Macaca fascicularis: one gene and its partners. The protein of the gene in region 3 purifies or fractionates together with the protein of the main gene of each other region. This does not show direct contact. Links are inferred from orthologs where the notes say so. Each region holds a gene or a part of one and is shown on either strand. Other genes may lie near its edges. The genes, in order: WASHC5, TWF1, CAPZA2, MTCL1, CRACD, CNOT1 and KIAA1671.

What was found.
Region 1: the proteins of CAPZA2 (region 3) and WASHC5 purify together in Homo sapiens (affinity purification with mass spectrometry; 3 studies listed by BioGRID and IntAct, counting the BioPlex papers as one, with this or other methods). This does not show direct contact. The link is inferred for Macaca fascicularis from reciprocal best matches to the Homo sapiens genes CAPZA2 and WASHC5.
Region 2: the proteins of CAPZA2 (region 3) and TWF1 purify together in Homo sapiens (affinity purification with mass spectrometry; 3 studies listed by BioGRID and IntAct, with this or other methods). This does not show direct contact. The link is inferred for Macaca fascicularis from reciprocal best matches to the Homo sapiens genes CAPZA2 and TWF1.
Region 4: the proteins of CAPZA2 (region 3) and MTCL1 purify together in Homo sapiens (affinity purification with mass spectrometry; 3 studies listed by BioGRID and IntAct, counting the BioPlex papers as one, with this or other methods). This does not show direct contact. The link is inferred for Macaca fascicularis from reciprocal best matches to the Homo sapiens genes CAPZA2 and MTCL1.
Region 5: the proteins of CAPZA2 (region 3) and CRACD purify together in Homo sapiens (affinity purification with mass spectrometry; 3 studies listed by BioGRID and IntAct, counting the BioPlex papers as one, with this or other methods). This does not show direct contact. The link is inferred for Macaca fascicularis from reciprocal best matches to the Homo sapiens genes CAPZA2 and CRACD.
Region 6: the proteins of CAPZA2 (region 3) and CNOT1 purify together in Homo sapiens (affinity purification with mass spectrometry; 3 studies listed by BioGRID and IntAct, counting the BioPlex papers as one, with this or other methods). This does not show direct contact. The link is inferred for Macaca fascicularis from reciprocal best matches to the Homo sapiens genes CAPZA2 and CNOT1.
Region 7: the proteins of CAPZA2 (region 3) and KIAA1671 purify together in Homo sapiens (affinity purification with mass spectrometry; 3 studies listed by BioGRID and IntAct, counting the BioPlex papers as one, with this or other methods). This does not show direct contact. The link is inferred for Macaca fascicularis from reciprocal best matches to the Homo sapiens genes CAPZA2 and KIAA1671.

The regions. Positions count from the first base shown.
Region 1 is NC_088382.1:134,751,213-134,755,222, forward strand, and holds the start of WASHC5 (WASH complex subunit 5), read right to left. Parts: upstream 2,844-4,010; 5' UTR 2,665-2,843; intron 2,448-2,664; 5' UTR 2,271-2,447; intron 1-2,270. UniProt on the Homo sapiens protein: Acts as a component of the WASH core complex that functions as a nucleation-promoting factor (NPF) at the surface of endosomes, where it recruits and activates the Arp2/3 complex to induce actin polymerization, playing a key role in the fission of tubules that serve as transport intermediates during endosome sorting.
Region 2 is NC_088385.1:50,420,157-50,424,380, forward strand, and holds the start of TWF1 (twinfilin-1), read right to left. Parts: upstream 2,837-4,224; 5' UTR 2,765-2,836; coding exon 2,740-2,764; intron 1,098-2,739; coding exon 1,020-1,097; intron 762-1,019; exon of another isoform or gene 697-761; intron 1-696. UniProt on the Homo sapiens protein: Actin-binding protein involved in motile and morphological processes. Inhibits actin polymerization, likely by sequestering G-actin. By capping the barbed ends of filaments, it also regulates motility.
Region 3 is NC_088377.1:158,309,076-158,313,393, reverse strand, and holds the start of CAPZA2 (F-actin-capping protein subunit alpha-2), read right to left. Parts: upstream 2,817-4,318; 5' UTR 2,727-2,816; coding exon 2,688-2,726; intron 1-2,687. UniProt on the Homo sapiens protein: F-actin-capping proteins bind in a Ca(2+)-independent manner to the fast growing ends of actin filaments (barbed end) thereby blocking the exchange of subunits at these ends.
Region 4 is NC_088392.1:77,249,804-77,253,893, forward strand, and holds the end of MTCL1 (microtubule cross-linking factor 1), read left to right. Parts: intron 1-2,399; coding exon 2,400-2,633; 3' UTR 2,634-3,570; downstream 3,571-4,090. UniProt on the Homo sapiens protein: Microtubule-associated factor involved in the late phase of epithelial polarization and microtubule dynamics regulation.
Region 5 is NC_088379.1:77,533,652-77,537,199, forward strand, and holds part of CRACD (capping protein-inhibiting regulator of actin dynamics), read right to left. Parts: intron 2,439-3,548; coding exon 2,248-2,438; intron 1,700-2,247; coding exon 1,537-1,699; intron 1-1,536. UniProt on the Homo sapiens protein: Involved in epithelial cell integrity by acting on the maintenance of the actin cytoskeleton. Positively regulates the actin polymerization, by inhibiting the interaction of actin-capping proteins with actin.
Region 6 is NC_088394.1:54,624,349-54,628,616, reverse strand, and holds the end of CNOT1 (CCR4-NOT transcription complex subunit 1), read left to right. Parts: intron 1-862; coding exon 863-995; intron 996-3,091; coding exon 3,092-3,226; intron 3,227-3,384; coding exon 3,385-3,463; 3' UTR 3,464-3,724; downstream 3,725-4,268.
Region 7 is NC_088384.1:26,514,480-26,518,614, reverse strand, and holds the start of KIAA1671 (uncharacterized protein KIAA1671 homolog), read right to left. Parts: upstream 2,804-4,135; 5' UTR 2,717-2,803; intron 1-2,716.

The DNA of each region.
Region 1 (4,010 bases), on a different chromosome or scaffold from region 3:
GAAGTAGACTGGATTGCGTCTGAGAGCCAAGAAGCCACTACAGCTGTCTAGAACTCTCATGAAGGTACCCTCTGATACACATTAAGGCATACATTATTAACAAGTTCTTTTAGTTTCCTCTGTGATACTTGCTTGTTAAATCACACTGATCTCTAACAGGCTGAATTTCAGATAATTTCATTTCATTTTCTCCATGGAGATGGTCTGGCTTGGGAAAGGAGAGAGGGAAAAGGGAAATAATGGACAATGGGCAAAACAGTCACCTCCTAAAGCCCTCTGAAGACCACCAAACTAACCCAGAAGGTCTAAGTAGGATGAAACTTTACACCAGGAGAGTCCAATCTTTGTCTTCCCTGGGCCATAGTGGAAGAAGAATTGTCCTGAGCCACACATAAAATACACTAACACCAAAAATAGCTGATGAGCTTAAAAAAACACACACACACACACAAAAAAACTCATGTTTTAAGCAAATTTACAAATTTGTCTTGGGCCACATTCAAAGCCATTCTGGGCCACATGCAGCCTGTGGGCCTCAGGCTAGACAAGCTTGCTCTAGACTCATGAAGAGGAGGGCAAGCGATGATTAACAGGTCCAAGAGCTACCTGATTTTGGATACCATGACAGGGCAACAATGTAGACCTGGGAAAAACATCTTAAAGCAAAGTAACATTACCTTCCCTTTACTCTACTCTCTCCCAACATACAGAAGGACAGACAGACTCAGCACCTGCATGCACACATTCAGGGAAGCTTCAGTCTGGGATAACAACAGAAATCAAGACTTTCGTGTGTCAATCTCTTATTTTAATCCTTAGGTCTTTACTCAAGAATTACATTGTAGACAACTTTAAAAGAACATGAGAAGGATAATAATAATCAAATATGTTTGGCAATAGTAAAACAAATAGTAAAACAAATATAAAGTAGGGTCTTTATTACCTACATAAATCGCCTTTCTAAAATTCAATATATAAACTTTATATTAAATTTTTAACGCGAAAGCAAAATATGTTATATTTAATATACTTTTAGTGAAATGAACTCACTGCTTGTAATCTGTTTGGCCCCATGAAGGGCACTTGTGTTTTCTATTTCTAATAATGCAAGCATCTCCTGCTAAGTTTTTGAAGATGGAAGAAGTTAAAACAAGATTAAATGAAAGAAGGAAATCACTTAGTTACATTTTACGTACTAGACCTCCTAACCTGGACTAGTTATATTTTCCATGTAACAAATGGAATTTCCATAATTTGCACAAATATAATTTGGCTAGAGTAATTGTTAAATAGCCCCCTCGTTGGCTGAAGGACTAGTCCTGAAGAACAGAATCTAAGAACCATCATTAAAAATGCCTAATCAAGTTGCAGCTAAGAGGTATGTGGATGGCTTTACAAGGTGTTAAGACTCAGTTAAGTCTTAAAAAACCACTTTAGAATTAGGTCCAATTAAACTCTGTAGAAGAAGCTATGGTAAATTATCCTTTCAGAGGTTCTCTTCGTGCTAGGGATTAAGAAAACTTGAAGATCAGCTCTCTCAATACAGGCTGTATTACTATCGGCATGAAATCCAGAGATCCCACTATATTCTCTTATTTTCTTTTACAAGCGCCAGTAACTTCATTTTTAAGAATTTGGCGTGGAACTGTGATTTTCAGTTTGGGAAGTAATCCTAATCAAAAGACATGCTTTCAAGAATGAGGCATGGCATCATTATACCAATTACCCAGCGTGCAGAATAATATTTCTTAAGGAAATCGAATTGTCGTGGACAAACACTGTTTACCCCCTTCAGAGGACAAAAGAAGGTAGGTCTATATTTAGCCTTTCGCAAAACCTCAGTTCCATAAAGGAAGCACTGATCTCCACAAATCCATTATCACAAACAAAATATAATGGTTGTCGGTCAAAATAAATGCAAGCTGCATATGTTTTCCAGAAAAGTTCTGACATGAGGCTTAACCTGAAATCCTGGGAAAGGCAGGTGAAGGACAATTAGAGAAGGTGTCCCTTGTTGTGCGCAAAGACAGGAAAACTTCTCCCTCACTACCCTTCACCTATGTTTGAGGGAGCTCCATGCGCTTGCAATCAGGAGACCCAGTTCTACGACTCTGTGACTTTTTTTCTTTTTCCTGTCCGATCATAGAGGAATCAGGGCCTTGGGAACATTTCCCCCCCCCCCCCCCCCCCGCCAAATGCAAAGGATTTTGGCATTAGCACAGGTGAAGGCATTAAGACGCAGCGAGCAGCAATGACTTGCCCAAACTCACAGCCCATGGCATAACTAGAATGCAAATCCAGGTCCGTCAGGCTGTAAAAGTCCTCACTACTAGCCTTTCAGTTTTCTCAAAAGCAAAGAGAGAAATAACGACGACATCCACACTGCAGTGTTCCCGGAAACTTGGAAGGATGAGATTCGGACCAAGCAGCCAGCTGAACGGTGCTTCCTAAAGCGAGGAAGGAGTGTGCAAAATGAGTTCCCCCTAAGCGGAGACGAAGAGCTGGACTGCAGCCCCCGCCCCAGAAAGCCCCTAAGCCCTCCATCCCGAGTCCCCCGTCCAGGCTGCACGCGACGCTGGAGACCTCCCCAGGGCCAGCACGGCCCAGCGGGGAGGTGAAAGGGGCCATGCAAAAATGGGGCGCGCTCATCCCATCCCCACTCACCTGTCAGCCGGGCCGCGCCAGCGGCGCACGCGCAGGGCAGGAGGTTGCGCGCGGAGTCGGCACCCAGGTTCCACCCCTCCCTCACGGCGGCGGTCCTCTTCTATCCCCAGTCCCGGACCTGGAACGGGTCAGAGCCGGGCTTCCGCCCCTGACTTCCAGGACGGTCACATGACCGAAGCGGCGGTGAGCAGGGAGGGGCATCATGTGACCACTCGCCGGCGACGGATGATGACGCAAGAGCCCGCGCTCACTTTTCAGCTACAGGCGAAGGGGGCTGAGGAAAGGAGGTGGGTACAAGTAGGGAAAGTTGGGGTGCCACCAGACGGAGACAACTCGGACAACCAGGTAGGGAAGAAGCGGGGGACGGCAATGGGGAAGGTGGCGGGAATTGTCGCCTCCCTCAGGGACACTCCACGGGGACCCCGAGCCGGGAATTCGTCGACCTGGATTATGGTTGTGGCCCTTTTCACGCCACAGTAGTGAGTCTGGGACAGTTTACCCTCCTGTCCGAGGCGCCATCTCTCCATCCGTTAGCCACAAGTGTGTAAGGGCAAGATCACGAATTTTTGATCCAAATAGATGTGGTTTGAACTGACTTTAAAAGTAAGGCCACGGGAAGGTCGTTTGAATAAACTCTCTGGACCTCAGTTTCCTCTTCACTTATGTAGATTGCAGTGAGAATTAGCGATAAGGAGAATGAAGTGCCAGGACACCAGTTTATGGCATTCTGTAGGTGACCGAGAAATGATGATGTCTGTTGTTATTTTTGTAACTCGCCAAATCTTTATTGGTCCCCTATTTTGTGTGAAGAACTGCTTTATATGCAATAGAATATGTCAGGGTTCTAGTTTAAGGAGCTTTCAGTGTAAAGAAGCTGCAGACATGTGAGCAAATAGTTGTGATGAGTTTCATAATGGGAGTGTGTTGTGTACATGTGCATGTGATAGGAATAATGGTAGCATGGGGGAGGGAACAAGCAATTGTATGAGAAGGATTCAGAGAGAAGGGTATAGCCTTGCATGCTGAAAAAGGAGAGGCAGCTCTGGCTGACTTGTACAAGGTTCCCGTGGATTTAAAGGAAGTCAGCATATTGTCTATAAATAACATGCAGAGAAAAAACTCAGGAAATGCACAACTTGTTCTAAACTTTCTTGGAGATCATAGGTATTGGGAAGAAAAGATCAGTGTTATTACATGGGAAGGGATCCAAGAGAGATTGATTTAAATCAGTTATTCTCAACTGATGCGCTATTGACATTTTAGGCCAGATAATTTTTTCCTGTGGGGTGGGGGTGAGGGCTGTCCTGTGTATTGTAGGACGTTTGAGAGTATCCCTGGCCTCTGCC
Region 2 (4,224 bases), on a different chromosome or scaffold from region 3:
TTTTAGTCTTTGGAATTTTCCTTATCTAAAACTTTTCACAAAACAAAAAAGTAAAACCAGAAAATAATAATTTAGGAAGTAGTGCCATTTTCCTTCTGTAGAGATGCTAGTTAGATTAACTTTTCCATTTTAGATCCTTAACTGGTCACTTAGGAAGTGATGGTATTAAAAATTTTACCTCAGTATTTTTAAAATATGTTGTTTTACAATATACATATATTCCTATTGAATGTTATATGTAAACAAATGCATATTTTACCAACTATTGTGGTACTTTTAATACATAAGCAGAAAACAGAAAACAAATTAGATTTACTTCCAGTTTGTGAAAGAACAAGTTACTTTTCCAAAGCAAAATATTTTTAGATATTTAAGAAATTAGGCCGCTGGAATATTTTAACATATTCATTTGTGACTGAGTAGCTATAACAGTAGTAATTGTCCAAATTCAAATCTGCCTGATTTAAAAGATTCTCCCACTCAACCAGATTCCCTGTTTACAGAATTATTTTTAAAGGATCAATTTGTAGTTTGTTATATTCTCAGAACTTTCCCAAAACAAGAAAGGGTGATAATCATTTCTGTAGCAAAGGTTGCAATCAAATGGAGTAAATGGGAGTTTGAAATCCTTTGTTTGTATTTAAAAACAAACTTTATTGAATAATTCACAAGTAACTTTTTTTTTTTGATAATCACCTGTTTAGTGATTTCCATTCCAGAGATGGAAGCACTGACATTAGAAATGGACTGTGGTGCAGAAACTAAGACACAAAAAGTAAAAGAGGAAGAAGTCACATCAAAAAACATCTTTCTGTTTCCCTGATAGTCACATAATTCAGAAGGAAATCAGGGGCCCACAGGGACCTGCACAAAATATGAGGAATCCAAGTTACTGTAAGGGAAGATTTGAACTTGCTTCACATTAATAGTTCAAATCACTGAGAACACACACTAAGTTTAAAAATACAACGGCCACCACTAATCCAGGAACAAAAAATATTTTAAAATATTTAACTAACCATTTTCAATAGATATTTTCAGAAGTCTGTACTTTCCATTTCTGGCTCTGGCAAAGATCTCTTTAACATCTTCACTCGCTGTGGAAAAAGATAAAGAAAGTAAACTTTTTATACTTACATATAAATACTTTCCTATCTATATTGAAAAAATTAATTAGAACACAAAGAAAAAATCTGGAGCATGTAGCATCCTTATTATCAGTATTATAAAACTTTACCGCATAAAATAATGAAGACTGTATACAATTAAGAAATATAAATATTAGCATTTTAAAAGTATGTTAATAATTCTAATCTGTTTTAGCTATATAATTCTGTGCAGAAATAACACTGGGGTGAATATACTGAAGTTACTCAAACCCAATAATGAGCAAATTACAATTTTGAAAAACTTTTATTGCTCCTTTGAAAAATATTGAAAACCTGCTTTCATTCTCTAATTCAGTTTCAAGCTTATGACACTCCTTCATCAATTCACTTTCTGTATTTTCCCGTTAAAAACAACAGTAAATATCAAATATCCTAACTTGATTAAAGAAAAAGACAGTAAAATGCATTGTCTTAATTCTGGTTATATTTTTCTAACTTGCATTTCTCAAAAGCTAGATTAAAATCATTGAATAAATATGTATTTAATAACTAACGCTTGTGTTCCTATTAAAGCTTCGATTTCGTTCTAATTTCGTTCCTGTGTTGTCTATTAGCAGCAAGAACCACTATGTAAGTAGGTAGTGCTTGCTATAAGGCTCAAGCATGAGAGTCAATAACGACATATTTATATATCGAAATTAATGCGGATAAATAAAACAACGCTTTTAGATTTGATACTATTTTGCTTCTGCGTGCATGCAGGGGGTATGTGGCGTGGTGTCAAAAATCTTTAAGAACAAAACATACAATTAAGTGTTCATCTGGGAGAAATACTCGCTATTAACAGTAAAAGCTTGAGTTTATACTAGAACTCGTTAAGTGATCGCGAGTAACCCGGGGATATATTATTTGACTCTTGATGAGGTGAGCACCTCCAGGCTGCCCAATTTCAAACCAGGAAATAATGGAGGTCAGATATAACTGCACACTGAACTGTCTGCACGCATTACATGCAACTATACAGATCAGTTTCCCTTGGGGAGTACCTAGGAAAAAGATCAAAACACAAACACGCTACACTCGAGATTTCTCAGAACAACTCTCACTTTCCTATTTGGGGAGAAAGTGCGGGAGAGTTTTGGGAAGCACCCCTACTGATGTGAGAAAGATTCTGGCATGTTTCTTTTCGTAATCAAAGTCCTGTAATATTCTCCTTTGGATCATGAAAAGGAAAACTCGCCTGGCTCTCGACAGCGTAGGGAAGCCCCAGTCGCCTCCACTGTCCCAGCTCTTCCCTACCTGACCAAAAGGGGGAAAGTTGGGCTAATGTCGGCGACGGTGGAAGGCACGCCCCCTTCAACCAGGCCGCCTCGAAAGCCAATTTCCTTCGCTCCCCCGAATTTCGAGTCCATCTGCAACGTGGCGGCAGCAGGAACCGGGATGGAGGAGGACGCAGGCCGGGAGCGCCCGGGAAGCAAGAGCGCGGAGAGGCGCCGAGGCCCGGCTCGCCCCGCAAGACCGACTTCCGGAGGTCCAGGCCAAACTCCAGCCCTGCCCGTCCTGCAGCCTTCCGGGCTCTTCCGAGCCTCCCGGGAGCCCCTTCCCTGCGGGTCGCGCCGGGCTCTGTTACCTTGGATGCCGGTCTGGTGGGACATGGCGGCGGCCGCTAGTTCCCGGCTCCGGCGCTGAGTGCGGCGAGCGGCCCCGGCCGGCGGCCCCAGGAAGTGGCTGCTCCTCCGCCGGTCCCGGCGCGTCATCCGCCCGCGACCCTGGGCCGCCCCGCCCCGTGAGATTGACTGAGTGCCCGAGCGCCCCGACCGCCCCACCGCCCTTCCTGGCAGTCGGGCTGCAGTACAACCCCCGGCCTTGCGACCTTAGCTCTCTGTTTGGGGTTCTACTTCTGCTCTTGCCGCCGCCTCTCCCGCTTCTCCCTGGGGGGAAATGCCGCAGAATCTACACAGCTCCGTGCTCCGACGTCTGCCCTCTGAAGATCGCGCCGACGCCGCCATTCGCTGCCTCAGCGAAGGGATGTTTTAAAACAGAAATGATCATTTTACCAAATAGGCATTTTCAGCTTAAAAAAGATGTGCACATTATCTTTCTTGGTTTACTCTTCCTATAATCGATACCGTTTAGTGTAGAAGAGCCTTCTCCTTGCTCCACTGTTTTGAAAGAATATATTATAGACTGCCTTTCATCAAATTTTTCCACGATTTTAAATTGAGTTAATCTCAGACTGTTAACTTTTCTTTTCAGTTGGACACATTTAGAGACTCACTGTATCTTTCTCTTCACTCCAAAAAGAGACAGCCACTAAGAGATTAGCTGATTTGAGTATCCCTCTGTGGTCGATTATACCATTGCAAATCCTGCTCTGCTTTAGGTTGGCATTTTATTATTTAATCCAATAATTATTCAAAATTCACTTGGACAGATTTGTAAGGTAACAGCAGGTATTACTTTAAAATCTTTTCCATTCCGGCTTTTACAAACATATAGTTCCTGAAAGGTAATGTTAGTTTTGGGGGGAGTTTGGGTTTTTTTGGTACTGCTTCTCTACTGCTACTAGGTGAGAAGCTAGTTCTTATTTTTAGGGCCTTGAAGTGACACATATACAAAATTATAATCTAATGAACAAGTAATTTATTCAGGTCAATAATAAAAGTGCGAGTTAATCACTATTCAAATACTATACAATGTATTTTTAATGAGTAATTCACAGGCCTGCAATTGTTTTTCTTTACAAGGATCACAGCAAACAAGGTTATGGTCTATTCCCTGTTATCTGAGCTCTGTTTTTCAGACATATTCTTATATTCGGTAATAAACTAAATCTGAGTTTTATGACTTGTATGGATTTAAGAAATGTAGGGAGGAGTTTCATTCTAACCCAATTCTTCCTGACACAATGGTTCGCCCTGATTTACCAGTTTTTTACTACATCGCTGAGCAGAGAGAAAATTGCAGAGTTGACTTGCAGTGTTTTAACTGATTCATATCCTCATATCTCAGGGAAATTGCTTAAGGAAGTTGGCGTTGCTCAAGAGTACAGATGAGAAAAATATAATCCTTCTATATTCATCCTTGAGAAAGACCACCATATGCTCAGTCCTAA
Region 3 (4,318 bases):
CTCTACTAAAAATACAAAAATTAGCTGGGCATGGTAGCACGTGCCTGTAATCCCAGCTACTCAGCAGGCTGAGTCAGGAGAATCGCTTGAGCCCAGGAGGCACAGGTTGCAGTGAGCCGAGATTGCACCACTGCACTCCAGGCTGGGCAACAGAGGGGGACTCTGTCTCAAAAAAAAAAAAGAAGAGAGCATAATGTAACAAGACCTTCATCTTGACTGTCCTTGGGTGAACTACTTAAAGCTTTTGAACCTCACTCTACTCATCTGTGAAATGGAAATAGAACAACTACCTCTTACAACAACAAATTAAGTAATGAATGGATCTAACTGAGCCAAGCATATATAAAGTACAGTACTAGATACATCTTAACAGCTTCCCTTCCTCAGATTTGCAATCTAGAATGGAAATCTCAAAAACTTAAAAGTATTCAAAACTTAGTATTTTTTTTTTAGAGATGAGGTCTCGCTTTGTTGCCCAGGCTGGTCTACAACTCCTGGGCTCAAGCAATCCTCCATACCTTGGCATCCAGAGTAGCTGGCATTACAGGTGCAAACCACCATGCCCAGCTTGACAGCTTATTTTTGAAAATTACCAATAAGGCGTAGAAAGAGTAATATCAAAATATCACTTTTAAGTCCTCTCTGTTTTCTGATCCCATACTGGACACATCCTCCTGCCCCAAAATGAAAACAACCTTTAGATATCTCAATTGACAAGAACGTTAAAATTTCACTTAACTGGTTACTTGAATTTAACCTAAAAGTTTTCTCAGTTTTTAAATTAGTAAATATAGTGATGAAATTTATATGTAAAATATCTACATAATATTCTTACAAAACACCAAAAATCAAATTAGAATTTTCATTCATTTAACCATAAAACATTTTGCTACTAGGCGGCGCAGGCTTTAAGACATAGAACCTCCTCATTCCTCTTTATGAAGCTTAGTGCCCTGAGAGTGCCGGATAATAAGGCATCTTGTTATCTCATTTTTAAAAAACTTTTTAATTTTAGGCCTTTACAACACATGGCAGGTCTTATTAACTCCCACACTGAGTATTCTCTCTTCAGCTAGATTTCTAGCCACTTGAGCTACTAATCACCACTTAAGAATGGTAGAATAAAAACACGACAATCTCTTTTTAAGCTTTTTAGCACGACTCAATTTTAAATATGCGTTTGTGCACTCCTGTACATTTTCAGTCACCTACTTAGGGTTATTTACCAAGATTATACATTCAATACTGTATAGCAACTTTTGTGGATACAGGGATCTGCCTACTGGGTCTGTGGGTTATGGAGACGTTGCTCGCCCCCATTTTGTTGTTGTATTATCACTTTCACCAAACAACACAAGAGAAAGACAGATTTCCGAAAATAAAGATGAGGCTGACTTCTGACCATTCACATTGGGAATGGGACAGAACCTTCTATTTCGGTGCAAGAACACAGCATATAAAAACACCTAGAGCAGAGGGTCCCAAATGAAAATATTCTTAGACTTACACGAGGATTTCTTAAACACCACAACGTACCTAAATGTACCTGTATTTTCCTCCATTGGCTGTACTGCTTTGAAATTTAAAAATGGAGCACTCTTTAACGAAGAGTGGACATTTCCAACCCTACAACTAACTCACTCGTATGTTCTGTCAGTTACTTCTAAGTTTGAGAAACGTCAGTGTCCTTTCCGAGAAACAGTCAAAATTAGCAGGGTTCTCCCCTATCCCACCACCCTCAGGAATGGGACGTTCACGAAAGCCAAACGAAAGGGGCGAATTAAGAGAGCAGCAGTTCAATGAATTATTCCATTGCTCCTTTTAAATATCTGAGAACTTAAGTAGTTCATCTGGTTCCACTGCTGTCACAGCATCTGACATACAGTAAAAGGAGTAGAACAATTTCCCCTCTCGGAAGAAGTCCTAGCAGGAAGGTGACGTGACACCAAATCGACCCCCGGGGAGAATGCTGACAACGTGGGCAGAAAACAACTATGGGGAGGGGGTCGTCTTTTTGTGAGCAACTCCGCTGCCTCCCGGGGAACATGGGAGCTGCAAAGCTTACTGCTAGAGCCATGAAACGAAAGAGAGAGGGAGAGAGAGAGGCCTCCATAGGGAAAGGGAAAAAAAAGGGATAAACCGTAGAGAATCAGAAAAGGAAGCGTTTTGTTTTGGGGAGGGGGAAGTAGAAGGGAGAAGTGAAGGTCTGCTTCCTAAGCGATTTTTCCCTTCCCCCTCACCCGCCGCTACACTCACAGGCCAGGCCGCCGCGCTGGGCACTGCCCTTGGGCCGCTCCCAGGCACGGACGCAGACCCCTTTGCGTCCCCGGTCCCCGGCCCCCGGCGCAGGCTCCGCGGCCGGATAGCAGGAGAGAGTCCCGGGCAGCCGCCGCCCTCCCCCGCGCCCGCGCCCCCGCCCGCCGTCGCCCGGCTCCCGCTTCCTATTTTCGGAGTACACACCCTACAAGGAGCGGAGCGAGCAGGCCTGGCAAAGACCTGCCCCCGCGCGGGGCCTCGGGTGACGGACAGGGGCAGGCACTCGGCGCAGCAAGGATGGGGGAAGAAGGGCAGACGAGGGCACCGCCAGCTGCGAGCCAATGCCCATCCCCCGCGACCAGACTCTGGGCCCACCCGCCCGGGCTGAGCCGGCTCCCGACGGCCGGCGCCGCCACCCCCACGACTCTTACCTTCTCTTCATCAGACAACTGCTCCTCCAGATCCGCCATCTTCCTTCTGGCGACAAACCGCGGCGGCGGCGGCGGCAGCGGCCACCTGACTTCCCCGCTTCCGTGCGGTCCTCAGCGCCGCGCGCCCCCGCTAAGGGAGGGGCCCGCCGCTCAGGTCGCCGCGCACGCGCCCCGAGAGCCCCGCCTCCCTCGACCCGGCCCTCGGGGACTGAGCGCGGCTGTGCGCGTGCGCGGGTGCCTGGTGGCCGGGCGGGGGACGTTGTCTCCCGGGGCCGCCTGCAGCAGGCTTGCTAGCATCGTGAGTGTAACGTTCTCTCCCCACAGTGACCATATGGGCTCAGTCTGCGATGAGTACATTCTGAGCCCTTCGTTATGTTTCTATCAAGTCTTGAACTCTGCCAGCTAAAATCTGAAAAGGTGGACAAATAGAAGCTTTTTAAACATTGTTTTTAAAAAAATATTAAATAGCCGGGCGCGGTGGCTCAAGCCTGTAATCCCAGCACTTTGGGAGGCCGAGACGGGCGGATCACGAGGTCAGGAGATCGAGACCATCCTGGCTGACACGGTGAAACCCCGTCTCTACTAAAAAATACAAAAAAACTAGCCGGGCGAGGTGGCGGGCGCCTGTAGTCCCAGCTACTCGGGAGGCTGAGGCAGGAGAATGGCGTGAACCCGGGAGGCGGAGCTTGCAGTGAGCCAAGATCACGCCACTGCACTCTAGCCTGGGCGGCAGAGCGAGACTCTGTCTCAAAAAAAAAACAAAAAACAAAAAACAAACAAACAAACAAAAAATTAAATAGTCGGCTTTCATTAAAATACACACACACGACCCGCTCCATAATTGAAAGATTGCTCTTTATATATTCCTTTATTCATCCAACAAATATTTTCTGGTCCTTTAACGGGGTGCGGGGCACTGTGTTAGTCTCTGGGGCTATAGTGTTGAGGGAGAAAAAAACAAGCTAGACACGCCTGTTCATAGCACCACAATTCGCAATTACAGAGAAATGGAACCAACCTAAGTGTCCATCAACCAATGAGTGGATAGAGCAAATGTGGGTATATACATCATGGAATACTACTCAGCCATAAAAAGGAACGAAATAATGCCTTTTGCAGCAACTTGGAAGGAGCTGGAGGCCATTATTCTAAGTGAAGTAACTCAGGAATGGGAAACCAAATATTTTATGTTCTCACTTATAAGTGGGAGCTAAGCTGTTAGTGTGCAAAGGCATAAGAATGATAAAATGGACTTTGGGGACTGGGGAGGGGATAAATTACTACATATTGGGTACAGGGTACACTGCTCAGGTGATGGGTGCACTAAAATCTCAGAAATTACCACTGAAGGACTTACCCATGTAACCAAAAATCCACCTGTACTCCAAAACTATTGAAATAAAAAGAGAAACTTCTGTTCTCAAGAAGCTCATTTTTGTACTCATTAAACAAACATATATTGAACAGTTGGGGCCGGGCGTGGTGACTCACGCCGGTAATCCCAGCACTTTGGGAGGTCTCGGCAGCAGATCATGTGAGGTCAGGAGTTCGTGACCAGATTGGCCAACATGGAGAAACCCCATCTCTACTAAAATACAAAAATTAGCCTGGAGTGGTGGCGCATGCCTGTA
Region 4 (4,090 bases), on a different chromosome or scaffold from region 3:
TACTTTTGTACATTTGCAGCCAATTTGCTTTCAGAGAATTGAGTAGATACTGGCCAGGAGGGGACATCCTAGGCACAGGGGTCTTGCCTGAGGGGGTCTTTGGGCCCAGCCACCCAGGACTGGTTACCAACATTTTGCTTACATATGTGCACTGGCATGTGCTGAAATGAGGTGGGACCCTAATGCGATAAGGCTTTTTTTTCATTTTTCAACAATCATACCACAAGGAATAAACCCAAATATATCTTGTCCTTCCAAGTGAGCACCGTAGGTGACAGAGTAGATGCTCAATAGATATTTGTTGAATGAATAAAGAACAAAGTCATCCCCACTCCAGATATCTTGAGAACGTCTCTCAGAATTGCTTTCAGAGTCTGAGTCAAAGCACATGAGAAAAGATATACTTTGTTTTTGATCAAGGATGATATAGTCATTCACTCACCTCATCCACTGGCCTTAACTCGAAGTGTTAAGTACAAAAGTATCTGTTGTCAAATACAACAGACGTGTCCCCGTGAAAAAAATGACAAGGAACACAGGGGGAGGGCCATTTCCCAGAAACGTGCTACAGGTGCGGCATCCCAGGACAAGATGCCATGCAGCGACCACAGTGGCTTCTCAGGAAAGCACAGCATCATTTGCTTGTACACGCTGGCGTGTTACTAAGGAAAAGGTTCATTCCCTTGAATGCAGACTCACAACGTTTCTTCCTTCACAAGCAGAGGCTGGCAAAGGGGGTACTGAATGGTCTCATACAAAGCCTGCTCTTTAGCACCAGCCAGGAGGAACAGGATACAGTGGTGTCAGATAAACCGATGACAGCAGCTTCATCGACACACAACACACACAGAACAGATATACAATACACAACACACACACTACTCTTACAACAAGGGGAGCACAGACACAAAACAGATACAGATTTCCCAAACCGTGTGTCCCAGCCAAGCACTGTGGGCTGTGGTGAGATGACACAGGAGCACCCTGAGTTAGTCTGCATCTTGGGGGCTGGTGGAGTTTTAACTGGAGAGGTGTTTCTGGTTGTCACGGTACTGTTAGCATAATGCTTTGGGAACAGAACCTTCTCCCTGTGGCCGTGTGAAGTGCCAGCCACAAAAGCAGCAAGGAGCATGAAGCATAGTCTCCAGGGCCACTGTTCCTTGTCTGCTGACCCCAGAGGGAGGCAGGGAAACCACTCGCCCCATTGCTCTTCTGGAAGCCTGTGGCTCCCACGCTCTCCTTGGGCCATGCTGTCTCTGCCATGTTCCATCTTCTCCCGAGTGACACTGCCCATTCCGTGCAGCCATCTGTCCCCCCGCTGCTGCTCCCCTGCACCACTGGCTGGGCTGTCCTCATCCTGGTCTTTTCAGTTGCTTGTCACATCTTTTTACATCCTCCAACTCACTTCCTTTCTTTGAGAGTCCTTGTTCTCTGTCATCCTTCCTGTGCCTTCCATTCAGTTCACCTCAGCGTCCAGTGTCTTGTCATTCCAGCCAGCGGGCTTCACGCTGGGCAGCTCAGTTTCCTCATGCCACAGCTTTTTACATTTCTGTGTATCAGCAAATTCCAAGTTTGGGTGTCCTGGTTTTGTAACATGTAGAGTAAGGACAAGGAACTCAACATTCTTTAAAAACAAAGTAGCTTGAGAATAAGGATTCTAGGTGATTTGCACATGGTTGAATGTGTCTTGCGTCACCTGTTCTCAGAACATTAGGATGCCTGAAACAAAACCACCAGTACATTCTGATTCTACTTTTTAAAATGCTGCTGTAATTGAAGAGTCATTAAAGAAAACTAGACCCAAATTAAAATTTCTGCCTGCAGCATCTTTGCCATGTTGTGGGAGTTTGTTTAATCTACTGCCAGTCAATTTCAAATAAACAGTAGCAGAGTTCGTTTAAGACGACTGCCATTGCTAACACAGCTGAATGAAATCAGAGGTCCCTTTGTGGGCTCCCAGTAGATCCAGGCCCTATAGGACCAGTTCATTTGTCCACTGTAGCTAAATAGATCATTCTAAAGGACCAAATGAAGAGATCTACCAGATGGGAATATGCTGAAGTGGCCTGTGGAGACCGCTGCCACAGTCACTCTGCCATGTCTTCTGTATACCCCGACCCAATTCTAAAGGAGCTTTGCAAGCTGACTCATCTCACAATATTGCTGTGTTTAATCATAACTGGTCTCTTCCCATTCATGTCACTGATCATGTCACATGTGTTGAATTCTTTATTATTTTAAGTTATTCTGCATGAGCATAGAACGTCGTTAATATTCACGAGTTGCCTGTGGTGTGTACTTCATCTCACTTGAGTCTGTTGAGAAGTGTGTTTGGGGGAATCATCCGCTGGTGACACTGCCGGTCTGAGTAACCCTGTCTCCCTTTCTCGGCTCTGAAGGAACTACCTTGTTCTGCACTAGCTCCATCCCTAGAGCCCTGCTTCTCCAGGCCCGAGAGACCAGCAAACCGTCGCCCTCCGTCCCGGTGGGCCCCACATTCCCCCACTGCCTCACAGCCTCAGTCACCCGGAGACCCGACGTCCTTGGAGGAGCATGGTGGCGAGGAGCCGCCCGAGGAGCAGCCACACCGTGATGCAAGCTTGCATGGATTATCACAGTATAATTCACTGTAATTTGCATAACCACACCATCGCCATGAACAAAACTCTGCCCAAAAGGAGAGATCTAGTTTTCTCAAGGTCAAAGAATGTTTTTTAAAAACACACAGCTGCTGAATGTTCAACCTGTGAAACTGAGATGTTTCTAGAATGAAACAGTAAATGTGCCTGTAATAACTTAATTTTTTTCATAGCTCAGAAAACTATTTTTGTCTCCATCTTTTTTACACACAGTATATTAAATGAAAAGGTAAATAAGGTATAAATAGATTTAAAAAATAAAAGTTTTAAAAAATGTACATTTTAAGAGATTCTGAACACCCTTGCTGTCAATACCTGACTGCCTCTCTGTTAAATTTACCCTGTTACATTTTGGTTCAGTTTATTTCCATGTTGAATTAGAGTGGATTAAGTTAATTTTATTTTGTCAGTGTTACTGTTTTTTAAGACTTTTTTAATGCTTCAGACTGTCTGATTCAGTGAACTTTTTGTAGCGAAAAAGCCATGAAGCTAGTAGACAAGACAGATATTCTGTATACTGGAGGGGATACAGGACGTTTTTGAAAAGGTACAAAGCCCTCAGTGGGCTTAGAAACTTCATTGTATGATCCTTGTATTATGCTACTTGGCTTGCACGTCTTCGGGTGCATGTATATACCGCTACTGTGTCCTCGCCATCACCTAAATGTGACTCAGTCTGTTCCACTGTAATATGTTGTGAATTTCCTTGTACTGTACTTTTATTGTTGGTCTTCTTGCATCGATGATCCAACAGCAACATTTTTAAATTATTGTGAAAAGATTAACTGGCAGTGTACAGAGTTTACTCCAAGTTTTCTTAAGGGAAAACACGACAAAAAGGCACGAGGATACCAAATGGAACCATGTGCTGGTGCCTCTGAGTCTGTATGAGACCGTGATGAAGTAGAAATAAAGCCCTTCCGAGATGGCAGCGTGTCTCGGGCTCTCATTTCACACACCCTCCATCTCTTCCTAAGGACTCGGATGGAAAGTTTTCCGTGGCTACAGGAATGAGGGAGAGAGATCATGGAAAGAGACAACAGCTGCTGATCTATCTTGCGGGGAATGCACGCTTTGGGTACCTGATCATGTTGCAGTTTTACTGTTCTCTGTAAGAGAGTCCTAGGATGGAGAGACGGCTTTATTGTTGAAAAGCCAAAACTGTGGTGTGGGCAGGGATGTGAGGAAACTGGTTACCTACAAGTCCGAGTGTGCCCGGCCTCTCTCCCGGCTTTGCTCGTTAGGAGAGAGGGAGTGGCCGGTAACGCCAGGAGAGGCCTTTCCACGGCTGATCCTGAGATGTCGCCCACCTCTCAGTGTTTGGTGGAGTAGAAGCCTACAAAGAAGTGAGGCTACTGAAGAGCCCAAAAAGAATGATTTCAGGCTGAAGCTTCTGGCTTTAATATTTCATTGAATGCTTCATTAACCCAACAGTTTTCTTCTTATCTAGA
Region 5 (3,548 bases), on a different chromosome or scaffold from region 3:
GGGAATAATGGAGCCTAGTGGGGAAAACAGATGCCCTATTAACCCCTGGGAGGGAGCCTGTTCAGAGTCATCCATCCTCCAAGTGATTGGTAATAAGAAGATAGTTGGATATATTACATCATTTTACCTTTTAACCAAATAAAGAATATTTTCTAAATGTGTACATCTCTTACACGTCATGAACATATAAAAACTGCTGTTGTTAATTAACATCAAGGACACTGTGCTGAGAAACCTTACTCTGTAAAGTCACAGACTAGCAGAAACCTGCTGCGTGAAATCACACCAGTGAGAACAGACCATTTCACTTTTGCCTGGAGCATCTGAGCCAAGTGTCACCATGACATAGAGATGCAGTTTCCATTTCCAACCCAGGTGCAGAGCTCCGGGTAGCAGTTTTCAGATACAACATTTTACACATTTATCTTTTCTGTTTTTGTTGTTTTTGAGACACACTGTCGCTCGGGCTGGAGTGCAGTGGCACAATCTTGGCTCACTGCAACCTCCACTTCCTGGGCTCAAGCAATCTTCCCACCTCAGCCTCCCAAGTAGGTGGGACTACAGGTATGCACCACCACACCTGGCTAATTTTTGTATTTTTAGTAGAGACAGGGTTTTGCCATGTTGCCCAGGCTAATCTCCAACTTCTGGGCTCAAGCAATCTGCCTGCCTTGGCCTCCCAAAGTGATGGGATTCCAGGCATGAGCCACCATACCTGGCCCACATTTATCTTTCTTTTCTGTATTTTTAAAATTGGTGTATATATATATACACACACACACACACACACACACACACACACCATACTTGTATATATTTTGGGGGTACATGTGGCATTTTAATACATGTAAATGATGTGTAATGATCAATCAGGGTAAGTTGGATATCCATGACCTCAAACATTTCAAACATTTATCTTAACTTTGTAGTTTTAAAGGAAACAGAAGCCTGAACACACTTTTCAGCTCAGTCTTCATATTATCTCCTTTATGTACACCATGGCTTTGATCTGACTTATTAAAACGCTACTCCATTTAAATTTTACCTAAACTTCACCCTTTACCCCAAGTCCTATTATAATTTTGTCTCTTCCCTTGTTTAGAAGGTTCTTCTGTAAGTTAATAAACCCAACTTTGTCAGAATATAGGCACAGGGTGCTGGAGATGGCTCATACTGCCGTGCTAAACGTTCACAAATGTAGAGAGCCAGCTGACATCATATTGGTATAACAGCTTTGAACTGGCCAGGGTTCTCTATTTACACAGAGAAATTGAAGATGCTCCAAACAAAGGTCTCTCTACCCCCTCAAGAGCTAACTGTTAAGTATTCACCAACACATCACTGATAGTGGGTGAGTTCCTGGTGGTCTTTATCAAGAGCTTAATCAGTGTCAACATTTATGAATGAGGTTATCAGACAGCCTGTGCTTTGAAATGCTTGAGGTGCTCTGCTAGTCATTACACTGTAGGATATAAAGCACGCTCTACAAAGAGAAACCTGGAACCACAGTTACAAAACAATGGACCTGCTCTCTACCTGTCACAGACGTAGGAAGAGTGTTGGCCTTTTTCAGCTGTTCTCTGCGCTCAAGCCTGGACACTGCAGTCTCGGGCCTCTTCTCTTCTGGCAGAGCAGTGGACTTGTGCAGGGAACCTGCTCTGCTGACACTGCTGCTTCCAGGCTGCGGGCTGACACTGACCTGCATGGGCAGAGACAGTCATGGGAAGCATGTTTTCAACCTAAGACATGGAAAGACTGACCCTGCAGGCCTTCTGGGCTTCTGCCTGCCAGCCCCTGACCTCTGCTTCCAATGGTGGGCTGGATTACATGTATGCGCCATGTATGCTCAACCATGGCTCCCGGTGAGGGAGCAGCTCAGAGCCAGTGTGCCTAATAGGGAAAGTTACTTTCCCAGAAAAGTCCCACCAAACTGACTGTAACATCAGGCCACGGAATAAGACTCCTGGTTTCCTTGCAAAAAGTTTGTTTCTCACGTAACTTGTATATCACTGCTGTAAGCACATCATGGATTATGGCAAATCAGGTTAACCTAAGAGTATAAAGAAATCAAATCCAATTTCACACTGAAAATGCTTCCCTGGTTTAATGGTGGTCAGTTTATTTACTGCTCAGTCCTCTCTAAGTACTTTCCACCAGCCCAGCTAGCCTTTTGTTTTGTATCCTTGTGACTGAAAAGAGAGCTAAGCTGAGGAAGGCAAAATCACAGCTAAAGCCCAGGCTACTCACATTTTCTTTGGAGAGCTTTTCTGCCTGTTTGGCCTCTCTGGCTTGCTTCCTCTCCTCCCGTGTCGCCTGCTGCTCCCGAAACCCCTTTTGCTTTTGCAGTGCTAATGTTATCCAAAGCGGCTGGGCAGTTTCCACTTTCTCTGTAAGTTTGGAGCCATCTAAGGAGTGCCTGCTCTGAAGCATTGGCTTCTCTGTAGGGAACAAGACAAAGGCCGGTTTACAGTGAACTTAACTGCTGACTTATCTCAGTTCCTCACCCCCTAAAACTTGTGACATATTAATAACCCTATGGCATATTCAGCTGGCCCCTTCCTAGCACAAACTCTGTGCTGATGCCTGAGTGGCTCCACTGGGTGGGAAGGTAACATGTTTGATCATCAGAAAAACAAGGGCATTTGTCTTCCCTAGAAATGGAAGAAGTTACTCCGTTAGAAAAAACTAAAATAAATCTCCAGGGTCATAAAATCTCAGGCCTCCAGGGGATCCAGATAGGTATTTGGTTCATTGTTCTTTTTTTGATTCATTCCTTTTTTTTTTTGAGACAGAGTTTTGAACTGTCACCTAGGCTGTAGCAGTGGTACAATCTTGGCACACTGCAACTTCTGCCTCCTGGGTTCAGGCAATTCTCCTGCCTCAACCTCCCGAGTAGCTAGGATTACAGGTGCCCGCAACCACACCTGGCAAATTGTTGTATTTTTGGTAGAGACGTGGTTTCACCATGTTGGCCAGGCTGGTCTTGAACTCCTGAGCTTAAGTGATCCACCTGCCTTGGCCTCCCAAGGTGCTACAATTACAAGCGTGAGCCATTGCACCCGGCCCTAATTAACTGCTTTAAATGAAATTTATTTTTAGCCATGGAACCATGGTTTTCCCCTCAAAGAACATACTACGTGGAACTCCAAAGTTGGAAAGATGAAAAAGGGGCACCACTCTGCCTAATGGAGCAGCTGAGGAACACTGTGGGAAGCCCATGATTTTGGTCCACTGCCCTCATTTAATAGATGTGAGTACTCCAGCCACCAAGTGCCATGCTCATGGTCACTCAGCAGTTAGTACACAGGCTTCTGAAGCTAGAACATAGGCCTTCTGACTTCAGTCTCTGTTTTTCTTATGGTTGACTGTCTCACCTATGTAACTGGGGGTGAATACCTCACAGGGGATTGGTGTGACAGGTTGAGCACTAGGCTCTGAAATTGAGCAGACCTGGATTTGATCTTTGATGATCTTACAAAAACTACTTAACTTCTCTAAGCTTTAGTTTTCTAATCTAGAAAGTGGAGATGATAATGGCGCATGCCTTA
Region 6 (4,268 bases), on a different chromosome or scaffold from region 3:
AATTAAGATAATACTTACTCCGATGTAGTTTAGATTAATGGTTCTCAAAATGTGCTGGGTACCCTTAGGGTGTCAAGACCTTTTTAGGAGGGCTGTGAGGTCAAAAACCGTTTTTTAAAGCAATAGAGTCTTGCTGTCTTACCCAGGCTGGAAGGCAGTGGCTAAATATCGGCTCACCACAACTTCCGCCTCCTGGGTTCAAGCGATTCTCCTGCCTCAGCCCCGAGGAGCTGGGATTACAGGCACGTGCCATCACGCCCAGCTTATTTTCTGTATTTTTAGTAGAGATGGGGTTTCACCATGTTGGTCAGGCTGTTCTTGAGCCCCTCATCTCAAGTGATCCACTTGGCTCAGCCTCCCAAAGTGCTGGGATTACAGGCGTGAGCCACCCCGCCCGGCCCAAAACTGTTTTCATCATAAAACAACATTTACATTTTTGGGTCTATTCTGTCATGTATACAGTTGAATTTCTCAGAGGTTACATGAAATATACTGTAACAAGTTGAACACAGAAGCAGAAATGAAAATCCAGTTGTCTTTTATTAAGCAAGACTTAGAGATCTGCAAAATGTAGAAAAACGTAGTGATGAGTGTCACCAGAAAATAGTTCATGTTACTTATATTAGCATATAGTGGGTCTGTTTTTAAAAATGAATATTTAAAAAAACCTAATTTCTAATGTGGAAAATACTGAAATAAAACTCACAGAAATGAGAACTCTTCGGGGTCCCGAGAACCACTGCTTTAAACCAAAGATTAATTTGAAAGCCTCTGTCAGAAACCCAAACCCTAGCCAGTTAGAACTGTTTTCCCATGTTGGCCTTTCAGTCTAAGTCCTAAGTCAAGGTTTCTTAATTTCTAGGTCGCTATCTCTTTTTGAATGCAATTGCAAATCAGCTCCGGTACCCAAATAGCCACACTCACTACTTCAGTTGCACCATGCTGTACCTTTTTGCAGAGGCCAATACGGAAGCCATCCAAGAACAGATCACAAGGTAAGAAAGCAGCTTATTTTTTAAATGCTTCAAAAGGGTTTTCTTCCTTTCATCTTAAATTCTTTTTTTTTTTTTTTAAATTCTCTATGCTTTCAGTGTTCAGTGAAAATCTATTGTTTGGTTGGTTTGGGTGTTTTTGTTTTTTTGGGAGATGGAGTGTTGCTCTGTCACTGAGTCTGGAATGCAATGGTGCGATCTTGGCTCAATGCAACCTCCACCTCCCAGGTTCAACCTTTCTCGTGCCTTAGCCTCTCAAGTAGCTGGGATTCCAGGCACCCGCCACCATGCCCAGCTAATTTTTGTATTTTAGTAGAGACGGGGTTTCACCATGTTGGCCAGGCTGGTCTTGAACTTCTGACCTCAAGTGATCCGCCCACCTCAGCCTCCCAAAATGCTGGCATTACAGGTGTGAGCCACTGCACCTGGCCTTCAGTGAAAATCTTTTACATGTCCAATAATGTATTAAGTGTGGGATACAATTGTGAGCAAAATGGGGATGGTTGCTGCCCTCCTAATACTCATTCTGATGAACATGTATCACAAGTAGAGAATTATAAATCGTAATCATGGCTTAAATGAAAAGTAGTTTACACCACAAGGCACATTTTGATTAAAGGTCAGGAGTTTCTCTGAGTTGGTGGTGATAACCAGTCCTAAATCATGCATGCCTATGGAAGACTGTGTTAAGGACCTTGGACTTTTCCTCATTACCTCTGGGTTGAAAGCAGTAGCAATAACAGGAAATAACAATAGTTAGGAATCTGTTGCCGGATTGCCTAGACTATATATAGCATTAGAGAGATTGTGATATATATATACACACACACACACACACACTTTAAAAATTGGACTAGACTCTTAAAACTTGCTCATTTGCCTAATACCTATGATGCTAAATATGGTATTCCTTTGTGTACTAAAATTTAATATCTTATTGGATGCTTAGATGATGATGATCCATTTTGTTTATATAAAGCTGCAGTAAGTCTCCTTGGGCTTGTAATCTTTGTTATGCTTCATGTACAGTTGGTATGTGAAAGGATATAAAAGCCAATACTGGCATTCAGAAAAATTTTACCAATTTACACATGCACTAGCAATGTTAGAATTCTTTTGAGACAGTCTCGCTTTGTCGCCCAGGCTGGAGTGCAGTGCCTCAATGTCGGCTCTCTACAACCTCTTCCTCCTGGGTTCAAGCAATTCTCTGCCTCAGCCTCCTGAGTAGCTGGGATTATAGGCACCTGCCACCACGCCTGGTTAATTTGTTGCATTTTTAGTAGAGACGGGGTTTCACCATCTTGGCCAGGCTGGTCTTGAATTCCTGACCTTGTGATCCACCCGTCTCAGCCTCCCAGAGTGCTGGGATTACAGGCGTGAGCCACCGCGTCCAGCCTGCAGTGTTAGAATTATTATTTTCTATTTCCTTACTTTTCATTGAGAGCTTGCTTGCTTGCTTATTTATTTGAGACAGAGTCTCTGTCGCCTAGGCTGGAGTATAGTGGCATGATCTCGGCCCACCACAACTTCCCACCTACCAGGTTCAAGTGATTCTCCTGCCTCAGCCTCCGACTGCTGGGATTACAGGCATGTGCCACCATGCCTAATTTTTGTATTTGTAGCAGAGACGTGGTTTCACTATGTTGGCCAGGTTGGTCTTGAACTCCTGACCTCAGATGATCCACCTGCCTCAGCCTCCCAAAGTGCTGGGATTACAGGCATGAGCCATTATGCCTGGCCTGGGAGCTTATTCTGGAAATTACTTTTTGTACTAACTTCGTGTGCCATGTACTCTGGGCTTTATGTGGCTTCCTCTCCCCCATCACCCCTTATTCTGAACAGTTCTGAGGTAGATACCATTATCTGCACTTGACATTAATACTTAGTCTTCTAGGGCTAAGAGCAAGGTTCAAACCCAGGTATTCCATCCCATGCCATTTGGAGTATATTGATTAATCCACCTGTCTTTACTACTAAAGGTGAAAACTTTTGCCTGTGGTTTAATAATCAGGGAGAAGTTAGAAAAAAGGGTAATGGAAGAATCATCATGAATTTGTATTCTTCTCTGCATTAACTAGCTCTTTTCTCCCCTTTCCCAGAGTTCTCTTGGAACGGTTGATTGTAAATAGGCCACATCCTTGGGGTCTTCTTATTACCTTCATTGAGCTGATTAAAAACCCAGCGTTTAAGTTCTGGAACCATGAATTTGTACACTGTGCCCCAGAAATCGAAAAGTGAGTTCAAAGTAATTTTTAATTGTCTAGGAATGAGACTGGAGACTGAAAACCTTATTTGTCTCTAGGTTGGGTCAGTGATTAGTAGTTGAATGAGATGCAGGGTATTGTTAGGCCTACTCTTTAATCACAGATTTGTAACTGTCTTCATCCTTCAGGTTATTCCAGTCGGTCGCACAGTGCTGCATGGGACAGAAGCAGGCCCAGCAAGTAATGGAAGGGACAGGTGCCAGTTAGATGAAACTGCATCTCCGTTGTACGTGTGTCAGCCTAGAGGTCTCACTGCACCGAGTTCACAAACTGAAGAATCCTTTCAGCTCTTCCTGACTTTCCCAGCCCTTTGGTTTGCGGGTATCTGCCCCAACTACTGTTGGGATCAGCCTCCTGTCTTATGTGGGCACGTTCCAAAGTTTAAATGCATTTTTTTGACTCTTGGCCAAAATTTAGAAGATGCTGTGAATATCATTTTGAACTTGTGTAAATACATGAAAGAGAAAACCTTTGTCTGGAACTTCTTGGCTTTGTGCAAGCTGTGTCCAAGGCAAGTACATAAACTGGTACCTTGTAATAAAGAGGCAGCTGATGCCATGCACTTGTCTGAGGGCATAGCTCCATGTCCTCTGACATTCCTGGTGTCCCAAAGAATAGCAAATGCCAGTTTGAATATTATGTAACTTATTTTTTTAATGTGGACAGGGGACCTTAAAAATCACTAAGTTATTAAAAATGTGGATGTGCTAGAATTTGATATGTCTGGGAACATGGGAAGGGCTCACAATTGGAATCCCATGAGTTTCTGTTTTTCTCTACCCAAACTCATTCCAAAGCTGACTGCATTTGTACCATCTTACTTATTTTGGGGATTACACACCTCAGCCGCGTGAGATGGGGGTCAGCTCTTTATAATAAAGGGAAACTAGACCAGGCCTAAAGCCCACCCCCTACATCCCTCTTCTGAAACTTAAAAACAGTGGGAATATAGGAAAGGGAACCAAATCTCATTAATTGTTCTCCCCATTACCCCAATGAATGGCCATACAGG
Region 7 (4,135 bases), on a different chromosome or scaffold from region 3:
CCCAGGAATAAAGTCCAAACCACTAAGCATGGCTGGCCTGGCCCCAGTCAACACCCTAGGCACTCCCCTACCTCCAGGCTTCTGCACAAGCTGTTCCACTTCTGCAGTCCATAACACCAACCTCTTCCCACTGGCTGTAGAGAAAACTAAACTCTCTGACTCCCATCCCTCCTCACAGCCAAAGGCATCAGCCCCTCCTCCTATGATCATGGTTCTCCCCTTCCAGACAAGTGCCTATGTTCACAAAGACTTTCAGGGCATAAAATATCCCCTTAAGGATGTGGCTGCTAGCCTCATCTTTGATACAGTGTCTTGAAAGATTTGTTGAAGGAACAAATGATAAATAAATGAATGAATGCACATATAAAATATCCCTGTGAGGCCGGGCACGGTGGCTCACGCCTGTAATCCCAGCACTTTGGGAGGCCGAGGCGGGAGGATCACCTGAGGTCAGGAGTTTGAGACCAGCCTGGCCAACATGGTGAAACCCTGTCTCTACTAAAAATACAAAAATTAGCCAGGCAAAATGGCAGGCCTCTGTAATCCCAGCTGCTCCAGAGACTGAGGCAGGAGAATAGCTTGAACCCAGGAGGCGGAGGTTGCAGTGAGCCGAGATAACGCCATTGCACTCTAGCCTGGGCTACAGAGCAAGACTCCATCTCAAAAAACAAAAGAAAACAAAACAAACAAACAAACAAAAAACAGCCCGCAGGACCTCCATGGGGGCAGGGGCAGCTTCCAGCCTCTGAACCTAGGGTGAGAACTGTATCCCCAACATCCAGAATCAGTACTAGACTGCAGGGCAAGCTGACTGCTCCATAGCTGGAAAATAACTCTAAGAGGACAGATCCTGAGTTGCCCTAGGCCACACCATTTCTACAGTGCTCCTGACATAGGTGCTCAGTACATGCTGGTTGATGGAGCCAGCCAGTTCATATGCCCAGCTGAAATATATGCCCAGACACTGCATTGAAACTCTGCACTTCTCTTGGTTAATTGCACCCTTGACAAGCATGCAAATCCTTTAAAAGGATCCCCCTGCCAGAACCACCAAGATCTGGGCTTGTGTCTGTACAAATTCCTCAGGAACTGTCCCTGCCTGCAACAGGAAGGAGGGAGGCGCCAGAGTCTGGGGGTACACACGCATGTTTGTCCAGAAACCTTGATGGATTAGCAGAGGGAAAGCCAGGCCAAGGGAGAAGCCTTGTCCAAATGTCCTGGTTACTCATTAGCCAAACCTCAGAACTTCTCTCTGCAAGGGGGGATCAGAGGGGCAATTAACCCATTTGGAAGAAAGGTTAAGCTAAATAGCTCTCTAATCCTGCAGTTTCAAAGACAGCAAGTAGGGTTTCTGGAATCTTTAGATACTGTAAGGCAAGCACAGGGGATGGGGCATGGGAAAGGAGAGGCCATAGACTGAGGGAGGCACTGATACTTATAGAGCCCCTACCTGTTTCATACCCTTCATTCCGATCCATCCTGCCAGTCTCCTAGAAGAGGGAGGATGCAGACCCTCCTAGGCCAAGCTCATTTTGCCCAGAAGGTCCCTATCTGGACTCAGATAAGTGTTCTGCCCAAGGTCACAAAGAAGGTGCAAAGAAAGTGTTTTTCTTTGTGCAACAGGTACAGTCTTTTCCCTTCCAAAAAATAATGGCTGCTCCTGGCTACAGAAAGTTCAGTGCCGGCGGGCAGGAAGCCCTGGCCACCTAGGCATCGCGCGGCGGAGGTCACACGCCTGCTTCGGGACTGGACGAAGAGCAGGGTTTTAAGGCGCGGCGCCCCCACTCCCAGGCAACTGTGTGCCAGGAGGGCGTGAAAAGGTCTGGCTCTGGTGGGGGTCAACGAGCCGCTTCCCATCCCGGGAGCCCCACCCGTGAGACCGGGTGGGCCGCGCCGCCATCGGGGCGGGGATCACGCGGGCCTGCCTGGGAACAGGGGGACTGAGGCTTAATCTCATCAGGGCGCCTCCGCCCTGGAAAGACGAGCGGAGCGGGGCGCAGGCCAGGCCGGGAGGACGCGTCCAGAGCCTCCGCGTCCGAGGGGCCCCGCGCGCTGCCCTTCTCACGCCCCCCGAACCACCCCGCCGTCCTCCGGGCTCCCCTCGACCCAGACTCCATCTCGCTCGCCGCCCTAGCTTCCCACTGTCCACCTCCGGGGCCTCCAACCCGCACAGATGTCCAGACCCTAACAGCTTCAGGCTGAGTAACCCAGATCTCCAGCGATCCCTCAGCTCCCGGCCACCGGATCTCTCTGAATCCATTCGCAAGGCTCAGGCTAGCGTGGGAGGAGATTGATCCTCTCGCTCCCAGTTCTGAATCGCCCTCTGCCGTCACCCCTGACTGGGGATCCAGTGGGACCCCAGGCCTCCAGCGCCCGATCCCCTGCAGGGATCGACTCCCAAGTCGCCAACCGGGTGGCACGTGATCCATTGGCTGCCCTATGCGGGATCTTCCCGCGGGATCCACTCTCAAGTCTCGGGAGACGGATTCCCCGGCTCCCAAACCGGGATCCTCCCTCCCCGCAGACCCGGAGTCTGGGGAAATCCTCCCGGTCCCCGCCTCTTCCCCAGCCAACTTTGCCAACTTTTCTCCCGGGGCCTCGGCCGGGCAGAAACTTGGCGGCCCTCGCCCGCCGCCGTCACCCCCAGCTACCTCGCCGGCCGGGGACAGGAGGTGACCAGCCGGCCCCCATTCCCCACAGCCGCTGCGCAACCTACCGTGGAGCCACCGCCAGCCCGCGCCGCGCCGCCACCTGCCCGCAGCCCGCGGCACCTGCCCGCTGAGCCCGCAGCCCCGCGCAGCCTAGCCTGCTGGGGGCGGGGCCTCGGGTGGGGACGCGCCCCCGTCACCATGGGAACTGCGGCCGGCCGCGCCTGCGCGGAGGGGAACAGAGCCTGCAGGACCCGAGGCGGCAGTGGCGCCTGGGCCTGGGACCTCTCCGGCGGGTCAGAGGTCACGACTCGCTTGGACACCCCTGCCGGAAGCGCTCCCGCCCCTCGAGGCCCGACCCGGCTCTGTCCAACTGGGAACTTTGCTCCCGGTCCCCTCCCGCGTCCCCTGGATGTTCCCCAGTCACCAGCCAGGATTCCCCGCCACCGGCACCGACCCGCTGCCCAGCCGGCGACCCCGAAAGCCTAATGCAACCCAGAAATTAAGGAGGTGCTCCATAAATGTGGGCCCATTGACTTGCCTGGGCTGCTGGTGCCGGCCCGGGGGCGGGCAAGGTCTGTGCGCGGTGCTGGCGCCTCCTCGCGCCAAGCAAGGGGACTGCACCCGAGAGTTCCCTGGGGCGCCTACTGTGTGCGAATCCTCCTGCCATTGTGTTGTGGATTTGGGTTGTGGGGTAATGGGTATAGGAACTTGTGACAAGTTGAGAGAATCGTAGGAAGTCGCCTCTGAAAGAAAATACCTGTTCTGTTATCCTTGACTCATTTCATTCAGCAGATCTTTATTAAGCACCTGTTGTATACCGGGTCCTGGAGACCCAGTGGTGGGCAGCTGGCAAAATCCAGGCTGTTGTGCAGCTTACAGATATTGAAACAAATAATTTCGCGAGTATATCGAATTGACTCTGTGACATGTGCTCCTATGGGAAATGTACAGAGCATAAATAACTGGAGGACCTAAAATCAATGTGCCTTTATTATAAGCAAGATAGACCTCAATAAAGCTGAAAAAGAAAAGGATATCACAGGCTGTGCGCGGTGGCTTGTAATCCCAGCATTTTGGGAGACCGAGGCGGGTGGATCACCTGAGGTCATGAGTTTGAGACCAGCATGGCCAAAATTATGAAACCCCATCACTACTAAAAATTACAAAAATTAGCTGGGCGTGGTGGCGGATGCCTGTGATCCCAGCTACTCGGGAGGCTGAGGCAGGAGAATGGCTTGAACCCGGGACTTGGAGATTGCAGTGAGCCAAGATCGCACCACTGCACTCCAGCCTGGGCGACAGAGCAAGACTCCGTCTCAAAAGAAAAAGAAAGAAAGAGGCCGGGCGCGGTGGCTCAAGCCTGTAATCCCAGCACTTTGGGAGGCCGAGGCGGGTGGATCACGAGGTCAGGAGATCGAGACCATCCTTGCTAACATGGTGAAACCCCGTCTCTACTAAAAATACAAAAAAAACTAGCCGGGCGT